Linked DNA regions of Oryzias latipes. The protein of the gene in region 1 purifies or fractionates together with the protein of each later gene. This does not show direct contact. Links are inferred from orthologs where the notes say so. Each region holds a gene or a part of one and is shown in the gene's direction. Other genes may lie near its edges. The genes, in order: rsl1d1 and larp7.

Region 1 (4,411 bases):
AAACACGCCCACTTGTTTAGCCGCATACGACGTTGAACACTTTAAACTGCTTTTTATTTGAGCAAACGTCTGGATTGAACTCCTGTCCTTTCAGATTGTCATCATCGAGCACAAGTCCATCATTTGTCCCGGGTACAACGCGGTCCTTCACATCCACACCTGCATCGAAGAAGTTCAGATCACAGTGAGTGACGCTCTCTCTGAAGTCGTCATGGCAACTGCATCCTTCCACCTGGATGGGTGCGTGGCCTCCTCCCATGAGACGGTTGTTGAGCAGAGGCTGTTTAATTTTGTCCGCAGGCCTTAATCTGTCTGGTTGACAAAAAGACGGGAGACAAGAGCAAAACGCGACCTCGCTTCGTCAAGCAGGACCAGGTGTGCATCGCCAGGCTGCGGGCGGCGGGAGTCATCTGCTTAGAGACTTTCAAAGACTTCCCTCAGATGGGGAGATTCACGCTGCGAGACGAAGGTGGGAGGGGGTCTTCGAACCCTCAAACTCCTGTTTTTTTTTCTTTTTTTTTTGCCGCTTCCGCTCATCCTGCTTTTCTGCTTCCACCACCAGGCAAGACCATCGCCATCGGCAAAGTGCTGAAGCTGGTGCCGGAAAAGGACTAAAAGCAGGCGCGGCAGCATGCATGGAGTTCTTCCACTCGTTTATCAGAGGAGAAACGCTGCCAGAGCCGACCCAATCAGCTGCTCTCTCTTTACACACGACTCTGCCGAAGAGGAGAACAACAGGAAGGAGCCGAGACGGGGGACAACGTCACATCCACCGAAAAACATCGAGACTGAATCAGTTTTTATGATGAACAATGTGAAACGAGAGACCAAGCCCAGAGTGTCAGCTTTCTCATATTGAGAGCTCAGCGATGCCACTAATGTAGCTCCACGCGCCCCCTCTGTACCCCAGGCTCTGCTGTGCTGTTGGCTGGCGATGCTCTGTGTTTGTTTGTTTTTTTAGGACGGAGACGCAGCGCTAAAGGAGACGCAAATTCTAACCATTCAAAGTTCACCTCCCTTTGTGACAGAGGAGTCGGGGCTCCGAGCGATTCGGTTTTTAAGGTTTGCTGTATCGGGATTTTTAGTTTTGACTTTGGTCTCTCCTCCACCTGAGAAAGGCATCATTGGACTGACCATACATTCAGTGTGACTCTGATGATCCAAGGAGAAACTCACACAGGCAGACACATCGCTGTTACATAATCCAAACGGAAAATAAAAGATCATGACCCAAGCTTGTTTGTTGTTTGTTTGTTTTATTCATTACCTCCCATTATTTACCATATAATGTACTGTATCTTTTACATATTCGGAAATATTCTGCACAATAAAATTAAAACTTACTGTTTCCTAAAACATATACATTTTTTAAATAAATGTTTTAAAAACTTTTTTAATAATGTTGAAATAAATTATAAACGTTTGTAATTCATGTATATATAAGAAACCAATTTTCAATAGTATATCTATTTGAAACAATTTACCTCCAAATAGTCATTTTTGTCACTTTTCTACTTTTCACTTATAAATAAAGTTTCATGGCTCTTCCTGTGACGTAAACCTTTTTCCGGCACTGTGCGCCTGCGCAGCGGAAGCACGTGTAGCCGACAGCATGGCGGATGAAGTTGTGTTGGACCGATCGCAGGTAAAAACTTTTATTTTCATGCCGATTTGTATTCACGCTATATCGAAGGAAAAATAAAACGTTTTACTTAAAAACGAACTCGGTTTTGATCAACACGTAAACGTTTTATGTCACTGACTGGCTAGCTACTTTAGCTAGCTAAATTAGCATCGATACAGGAACGTATTTGGGGTTAGATTTAAGGGTATTTTTGTTGTGTTTAATGGAAGTTTATGTTCCTTGTAGGTGAAAAAAGCCGTTCAGGCCCTGCAGGCCTTTCTAAAAACTCAACCCAGCACAAATTCCCTGCTGTTGGACGAAGCTCAAAAGATCAGCGTGCAGTTCACCCTTTGGAAAATTCCCAAACGCGCTCAAACGATCCGCATGTGAGTCTGGACGAGAAGGGGCTGTCCTTCTCCTCTGTGTGTGGTTCTCATACGAGTGTTTCCGCAGACCGTTGCCTCACGGCCAGCGGACCGACACGGACGAGGTTTGCCTTTTCACCAGAGATGAACCCAACATGACGTCAGAGCAGACCCAGAGGTTCTACAAGAAGCTGCTGGAGGAGAGAGGAGTCAAAGGCATATCAGAGGTGCTGAACTAAATCTCATCCAACCATTTATCCCGATCCTGATGCTGACCATTCCTGTTTGGGTTCACCTCCTCCTATTCCAGATTATTCCCTACAAGATGCTGAAAGCGGAATATAAACCGTATGAGGCCAAGCGGCGCCTCCTGGGGAACTTTGACGTGTTCCTCTCGGATGACCGGATCCGCCGCCTGCTGCCATCCCAGCTCGGGAAAGAGTTTTATAAGAGAAAGAGGTGAGAACGGGAGTTTGGCCTCCGACACATGAATGTACAAACAGAATCCTTTGATTTTTGTTGAATGGAACAGCGGCTCTAAAAATAACATCTTAAAATTGTAGTTTACTTTATTTGAAAAAGAAATCCACGTTGAGCTGTTTTATCATAAAGTCTTTAAACATTGTGGATTAAAAAATCATCTCGCGGATCTATTATTTATGATTTAGCCGAAATCCAAAAACCTATGTCGTTTTCCAGGACATAGTTTCTGCAGAGCGGCAGGAGTTTATCAGAAATTCCCCTTAGACTTCGTCTATAAACGTTGGGATTAGAACAGGGGGCCGGGGGCCATAAACTGTTTAATCTGACCCCCCCAAACTGGACTAAATCATTGATAACCCCTAATAATGTTTTATTTTCCCTGTAATTTGACACAGTTTTGAAATAAAAACGCCAAAATGTTCTGTTTTCATTTATATCAGTTAATATCTAACAGTTTTCAATCAAAATCAAAGCTCGTCTTCATCCAGATTCTATGTTATCTCTTTCTCTTATGAGGTGGATTACCAAAACACACCACATAAAATGTTGCCCCCCCAGGATTAGAAGCTTGTTTTGGGTGTACTTCTGGGTTCCTCTGCTCGCGTTTTGACCGTTTTCCCCCCGTCTCCTCCAGAGAGCCGCTCTGCGTGGACCTCCAGAGCAAACATCTGGCCAGAGACGTGCAGAGAGTCGTCCAGGGAACCCGGCTGAGCGTGACCAACAAAGGCTGCTGCTGGTGAGCCGCTCCGCTTCTCTGTCCTCGAAACCCGAAGAGGACCAGACGGGTTCTGGCTGCACCTCGGTACAACCCGGTCGACCCGGTTGGAGGCTGCGGAAACTCGCCCTAAATCCAGTCGGGCCACCTCTTCCCGTGGAGACCGTCGCTATAACTCTGAAACAGCGATGAGGGGGATCGACCCCCTCAGCTCTGAACCCTCGCCTGTGGTTGATTGTGTTGCAGTTTAGCGCACGTGGGGCATTCCAGCATGAGCGCGGAGGAGGTGACGGAGAACGTCCAGGCCGTCTTCCAAACGGTCCTGTCCAAGATCCGGATGGTGAGTCCAAAGAAGCGGACTTTCTGCTCGTCTGTTTGAGTTCATCGGCGCAGAAGCCTTCGTCCGTTCTAACAAAAACAAAACCACACTCACCCTGAAATGCTTTGTCCCGTCAATGGCTCACCCATGAGGCTGCTGGGAAATGAAACGCTTCGAACTCAATAAAATCTAAAGTAAAAAAAGAAGTCCTCCGAGAGTCCTGGGCCGATGACATCACGGCGAGAGAAAGCGACAAATAATGAAGGACGCCAAAATATCTTAAAGGAAAAATTCTAAATCCAAAAGAGGTTTTTCAAAATGAAAGAATTTTCAAATACACGCCACCAACCTAAGTCTACAACCAAAAACCAAACTTTTTATTGACCTTTGACCTCAGGAGGAAGAACGCCGTTGGTGTGGCGAGCTCTCGGATATGGCACTCTCTGTTGCACATTCACCGGAATATTGTAAAAAAAAAAAAATTGAGAACATGGATTGTTGGATCTAAGAAATGTCAGAAATGTGGGCTTGGTTCGCCGAAAACTACGGTTCCCAAGGAAATACGAAAGTTTAACTTTTACAGATTCTTCTGAAAATGACTTCGACCTGTTCGTTACCTTGGGTTGAGCGAAAATTCAAATGGTTGCTATGGAGATAAAACCAACAGAAAGGTGCCATTTGTCATGTGCAGCTTTAACCAGTGCAGCTCGGCCAGTGGGTGAGGGTGGGTAGCGTCTGCAGGCCGTACAACGCCAATCTTTTTCTTGGGAGTTTGTGTCTTTGATCGTCTATCGGTTATGAAATGTTTTTGGTTTTTATTTTATTTATTTATTTTTTTACAATATAATGAAGATAATTTATAGGGCCTCGCGATTGAGTGATCAATACAATCAATGGGGATGACG
Region 2 (4,286 bases), on another chromosome or scaffold:
TTAAAAGTGACCTTATGTCTACCCTTGTATTGATCAAGTGGTATATATGGGATTAAGAAAGTAAGCAGTGCTAGCAAATTGTGTTTCCAAAAAGTAATTGTTACATTAATCTAATTCAATGTCCCTGATTTCATTTTCATGTAGATGCAATAATCCTGCAGGAATTAAAAGAACATGGCAGCAGCTAAAAATGAAGTATAAAAACATAATTCAATCAGGTCAAATTTGAGCATGTCATGGAGGTAGGCTTTGTTGACAATATTTGACATATGAAACATCTACATAGCAATACATATCTAATGTTGTTTTCATTGTATATATGTAATTGACTGCAACGAAAAACGGTAACGCTCAAACAAAAACGTATGGGGAAATGCCAAAAAATCGAGTCTAGGTCTCAAAATCCTCGCACGACGTAAATGTAATTCTCTACGAATTAATGCAGCCTCCTCGTCTATTGGGTCCTCCAAAAAAGGACAAGCCATTCTTGTCACTTGTCTCTGTGTGACTGAAATTTGGGCAATGAAGGTTAAAGCGAAAAATACCGCTTCGTCTTTAAAAAGGGGAGGGGACCGGCAGAAACCTTGAGTTTAAAGAATAAAACCTGCTCCCGACCAGGTTAGGTTCACAGCGTAAGTAACTATGGACGCTGACTCCGAGTATAAGTTACCTATCTTTCAGAAACGGGTTTGACTTACTCTGCTTTCTCCGGTTTAACAAACCTCCCATTTTGAAACGGAAAACCCAGGGTTTCCCTGATTTCAGGGTTAACGCACTCAGAGTTTACACTTAACCTCATTTCTGAAACAGGGCCCAGGAAAACATCACGTCATAAAAAATATAAACCATATAACCTCAGACATTAATACAAAACATGTTGGCCCGTACGGGGATCGAACCCGCGACCTTGGCGTTATTAGCACCACGCTCTAACCAACTGAGCTAACCGGCCGTGCGCGTTATTTAAACACAGAGAATAAAATTGTTACGAGGACGACATCTCGGCATATCCATGTTACTATTTACTATTATTATTATTGTTTTTTTTAACCGTCTTAATAGGTAGATTGACCATGTCACTTATCAAAACTAGTTACTTATGTCACATAAAGACATGGGTAGTTTAGTTTACACAAAAAAGAGGACAAAAAAACAACAGAAATAAATAAATGTGTACTTCTTGGATTGGAAACTATCTTTTTACCTGTATTTCGTTTACATTTGAAATGAATGTTTTCTATTGCTACTTTGCGTAAATTTAAATAAATATATTTTTAAAAATGTTGCTGAGTTTTTCTTTTTTCCTTAAAAGTATGAAGTTATTTTTTTTTCTTCACATTAATCGGTGCTGAATTTTCTTGTACGTCTCAATATAATAGAACTTACCGGAAGTTGAATAAACGTCCTGGCGGACAGTTGTGACGACATCATTGTGCGACGTCTCCATTCGAAATATTCTGTGATGTTTGTCCGTTAGCCGCAGTGTTTTTGTATTTTTTGTTATGTTAGTATTAAATTGATGTTTATAATATCTTTTACTCAGGTAAGTTTGCAAAAATAACTACATTTTTAAAAGTAATTTATTGACAGTTAAGCGGAACTTTGCTCGCTTTTATAACTATTTTCAACAACAATACTACTGAATACATGTTTTAAAAAGTCGGACGTACAGCCGTGATTTGGCTTAAGAGCTGTTTTTGCTGAAATTCTATTGTTTTCGCTTTTCAATTTTTTTTTTTTTTTGCTTTACATATGAATGAGATTTGTTTATTGTGTTATGGTTACAAAAATGTCTTGTGTGTAAACCCCAAGACTCAAATGCAGCAAATAAACAATAAACCATAGTAAGATAATTCCTATTATGTGGTTTAGTTTTATTTTTGGAGATTTTTTAAAATCAGGATTTTGGTTTTGTATGAGTGTGTGGGATTCTGTTTTTTAGGATGACTAACACAGACAAGGAGGCAAGTGGAGGCGGTGCTGCCGCTGCACCCAGCGACAAGCTGAAACTTGAGACAGAGAAGAAGAAGAGGTACCGGGTCAAACAGCTGCTGGGAGACGTGAAGAAGCAGGTGGAGTTCTGGTTTGGAGATGCAAACCTCCACAAGGACCGTTTCCTGAAAAAGATTATAGAGGAGTCTGATGATGGATGTAAGGAGCCGTCAAGATGAGGATAGTGTGATTTTTCCAGGGGTTAGGATCTCTAACCTCCGTGTGAATCCCCTTTCAGATGTTGACATATCTGTGTTGACGGGCTTCAATCGAATGAAGAAGCTGACAACGGATCCAAAGCTCATTGCCAGGGCGCTGAAAAATTCCACTCTAGTTGAGGTAAATGTTGTTACTTGGATGCAGGGCTGTGTTTTGTTGACTAATCCAAAGTCACAGAAGACGTAGTAGGTTAAAATCACAAACTCCATGGAAACCAAAACCTCCCAAAAATACAAAACTGGAACAAAAACCAAGCAGCAGACATCAGCATCCAAATGCAGTAAAAATAAAATTCAGAGAAAAAAAGGAATACAATTTAATAATAAAAACAGCGATTAAAAAAAATAATGAAAAGCAAAAAAGGCAAATAAACAGATACATCATCTGAGTTTAATAGCTTTATTACTTTTTAAAGGGAATTAAAGATTAGATTTAAGTATTTTTTATAAAGCAAAAAATTGGGGTGAAGTTAAAAAAACAACCATTAATGAAAAATAAAATTCCTAAAATGATCTAATAATTAACTTAGAATTAAATATGTTTGTCTTTGTATAAAGATCCAAATGGAATAGTATTAGGCAAAAATGAAGTATTTCTTTTTTGTTGTGTTTTTTGAAAGCTAATCATTTAAATCCTGCCAAAAATATTAACCAAATTACAATAATAAAAAAAGATGTTTTAGTATCAGTTTTACACAAAGTTATATTGAATAAATCTAATTCTTCCTTTTTTTTATATCTTTATTGTCATTGTTTTTTCAAAGCTTTAAACAACATCACAACAAAACATTTCAATTCTGGCGTTAAAAGTAATATGTATATATAAAAAATATACACAAAGGAGAAAAAACCTCTATAAGGATTCCACTAAAGTTTGAAGGTTTTTTCTTTTTTTTTAACAATAAATGTAACTCTCTCAAAAGCTAAACGTCGAGGGTGTGTCCATACTCTTCCAATAAATCAAATTCTTAAATATGATTTTGTATAGATATATAAGGAATTGTTTTTAAATGAACTGCTTTTATTTTAAGCATGTAGCAACCGCCCAGTAAGGGCTGTCAAAAGGGAACAGCGAGGGTGGGTGTGATTGGCGCCTGTAGGCCGTTTAACCCCACTCCCAGCCTTATTAGCAGTTCGTTCTAGCTTTGATTTCACTTCGGCCCCTTGAATGAGTTGGGTTTCGTTTTTCTTTTGCGTGTTAGGTTAACCTGGAGGGAAACAAAGTAAGACGTCAACAGCCGCTTGGTGACCCACCCATCAACAGCGACAGCTGCACTGTCTACGTGGTAAAACGACGTCTTCTGTTGTCGCCTTCGCTTGGCTTAAAAACATAATTCAAGCCTTACACATATTTACTGATTTTCTTTCAAATTTTCCAAGGAACTTCTGCCCAAGGATGTTTCCCACAGCTGGATAGAAAGGGTGTTCTCCAAATGCGGGAATGTGACGTATGTGAGCATTCCCAGATACAGGACAACGGGCGACTCCAAGGGTTTTGCCTTTGTTGAATTTGAGAATGAAGAACAAGCGCAGAAAGCAATAGAGGTGAGCTATCCGTGTCACTTTTCCTCTTAAGGAAAGCATTTTTTTTTTCCATCTTAACGTATATTTTATCTCTGAAAACAGATGCTGAACAACCCTCCTGAAGATGCACCCAGGAAGCCTGGGATTTTCCCCAAGACTTTAAATAGGAAGCCGATTCCTGTTACAGGTGAGAGAGTGCTGGTTCAGTGCTATGTCACACATCACTGTATGTTGGCCTGAGCAGCTCATTCAGACTCTGTATATAACAATAAGAAGGTGTTTGTTGGTTCAGCTTGACTGCTTCATTCCAATACCATTGCTTTTTCTCTGTCTGCTCTCCGTTTTCTAACTCATTTATTTAAATCTGTGTCTGCAAACATTGTTTTATGTTTAAGTATCGAATGCAACTGTATGAAAGCTGACACGAAGCTCCTAAACATTCGAGGGCCTTCTTTGTTTTTAAAAGCATTTGTGCTAGACATCTCTTTTTAACAGGTTAAGCCTCAGTTTGGTTTTCCAGGCGTCCCCACTCTTACATTTAAAGTAGGGACC

Evidence for each region.
Region 2: the proteins of rsl1d1 (region 1) and larp7 purify together in Homo sapiens (affinity purification with mass spectrometry; 3 studies listed by BioGRID and IntAct, with this or other methods). This does not show direct contact. The link is inferred for Oryzias latipes from reciprocal best matches to the Homo sapiens genes RSL1D1 and LARP7.

What each region holds. Positions count from the first base shown.
Region 1 is NC_019877.2:2,439,286-2,443,696, forward strand, and holds the start of rsl1d1 (ribosomal L1 domain-containing protein 1), read left to right. Parts: upstream 1-1,543; 5' UTR 1,544-1,612; coding exon 1,613-1,645; intron 1,646-1,870; coding exon 1,871-2,010; intron 2,011-2,077; coding exon 2,078-2,216; intron 2,217-2,299; coding exon 2,300-2,448; intron 2,449-3,106; coding exon 3,107-3,208; intron 3,209-3,433; coding exon 3,434-3,527; intron 3,528-4,411. Other genes in the region: gspt1 (eukaryotic peptide chain release factor GTP-binding subunit ERF3A), read left to right, coding at 95-184, 301-469, 563-615. UniProt on the Homo sapiens protein: Regulates cellular senescence through inhibition of PTEN translation. Acts as a pro-apoptotic regulator in response to DNA damage.
Region 2 is NC_019876.2:11,528,833-11,533,118, reverse strand, and holds the start of larp7 (la-related protein 7), read left to right. Parts: upstream 1-1,416; 5' UTR 1,417-1,543; intron 1,544-1,942; 5' UTR 1,943-1,943; coding exon 1,944-2,151; intron 2,152-2,230; coding exon 2,231-2,331; intron 2,332-3,412; coding exon 3,413-3,496; intron 3,497-3,590; coding exon 3,591-3,755; intron 3,756-3,836; coding exon 3,837-3,921; intron 3,922-4,286. UniProt on the Homo sapiens protein: RNA-binding protein that specifically binds distinct small nuclear RNA (snRNAs) and regulates their processing and function.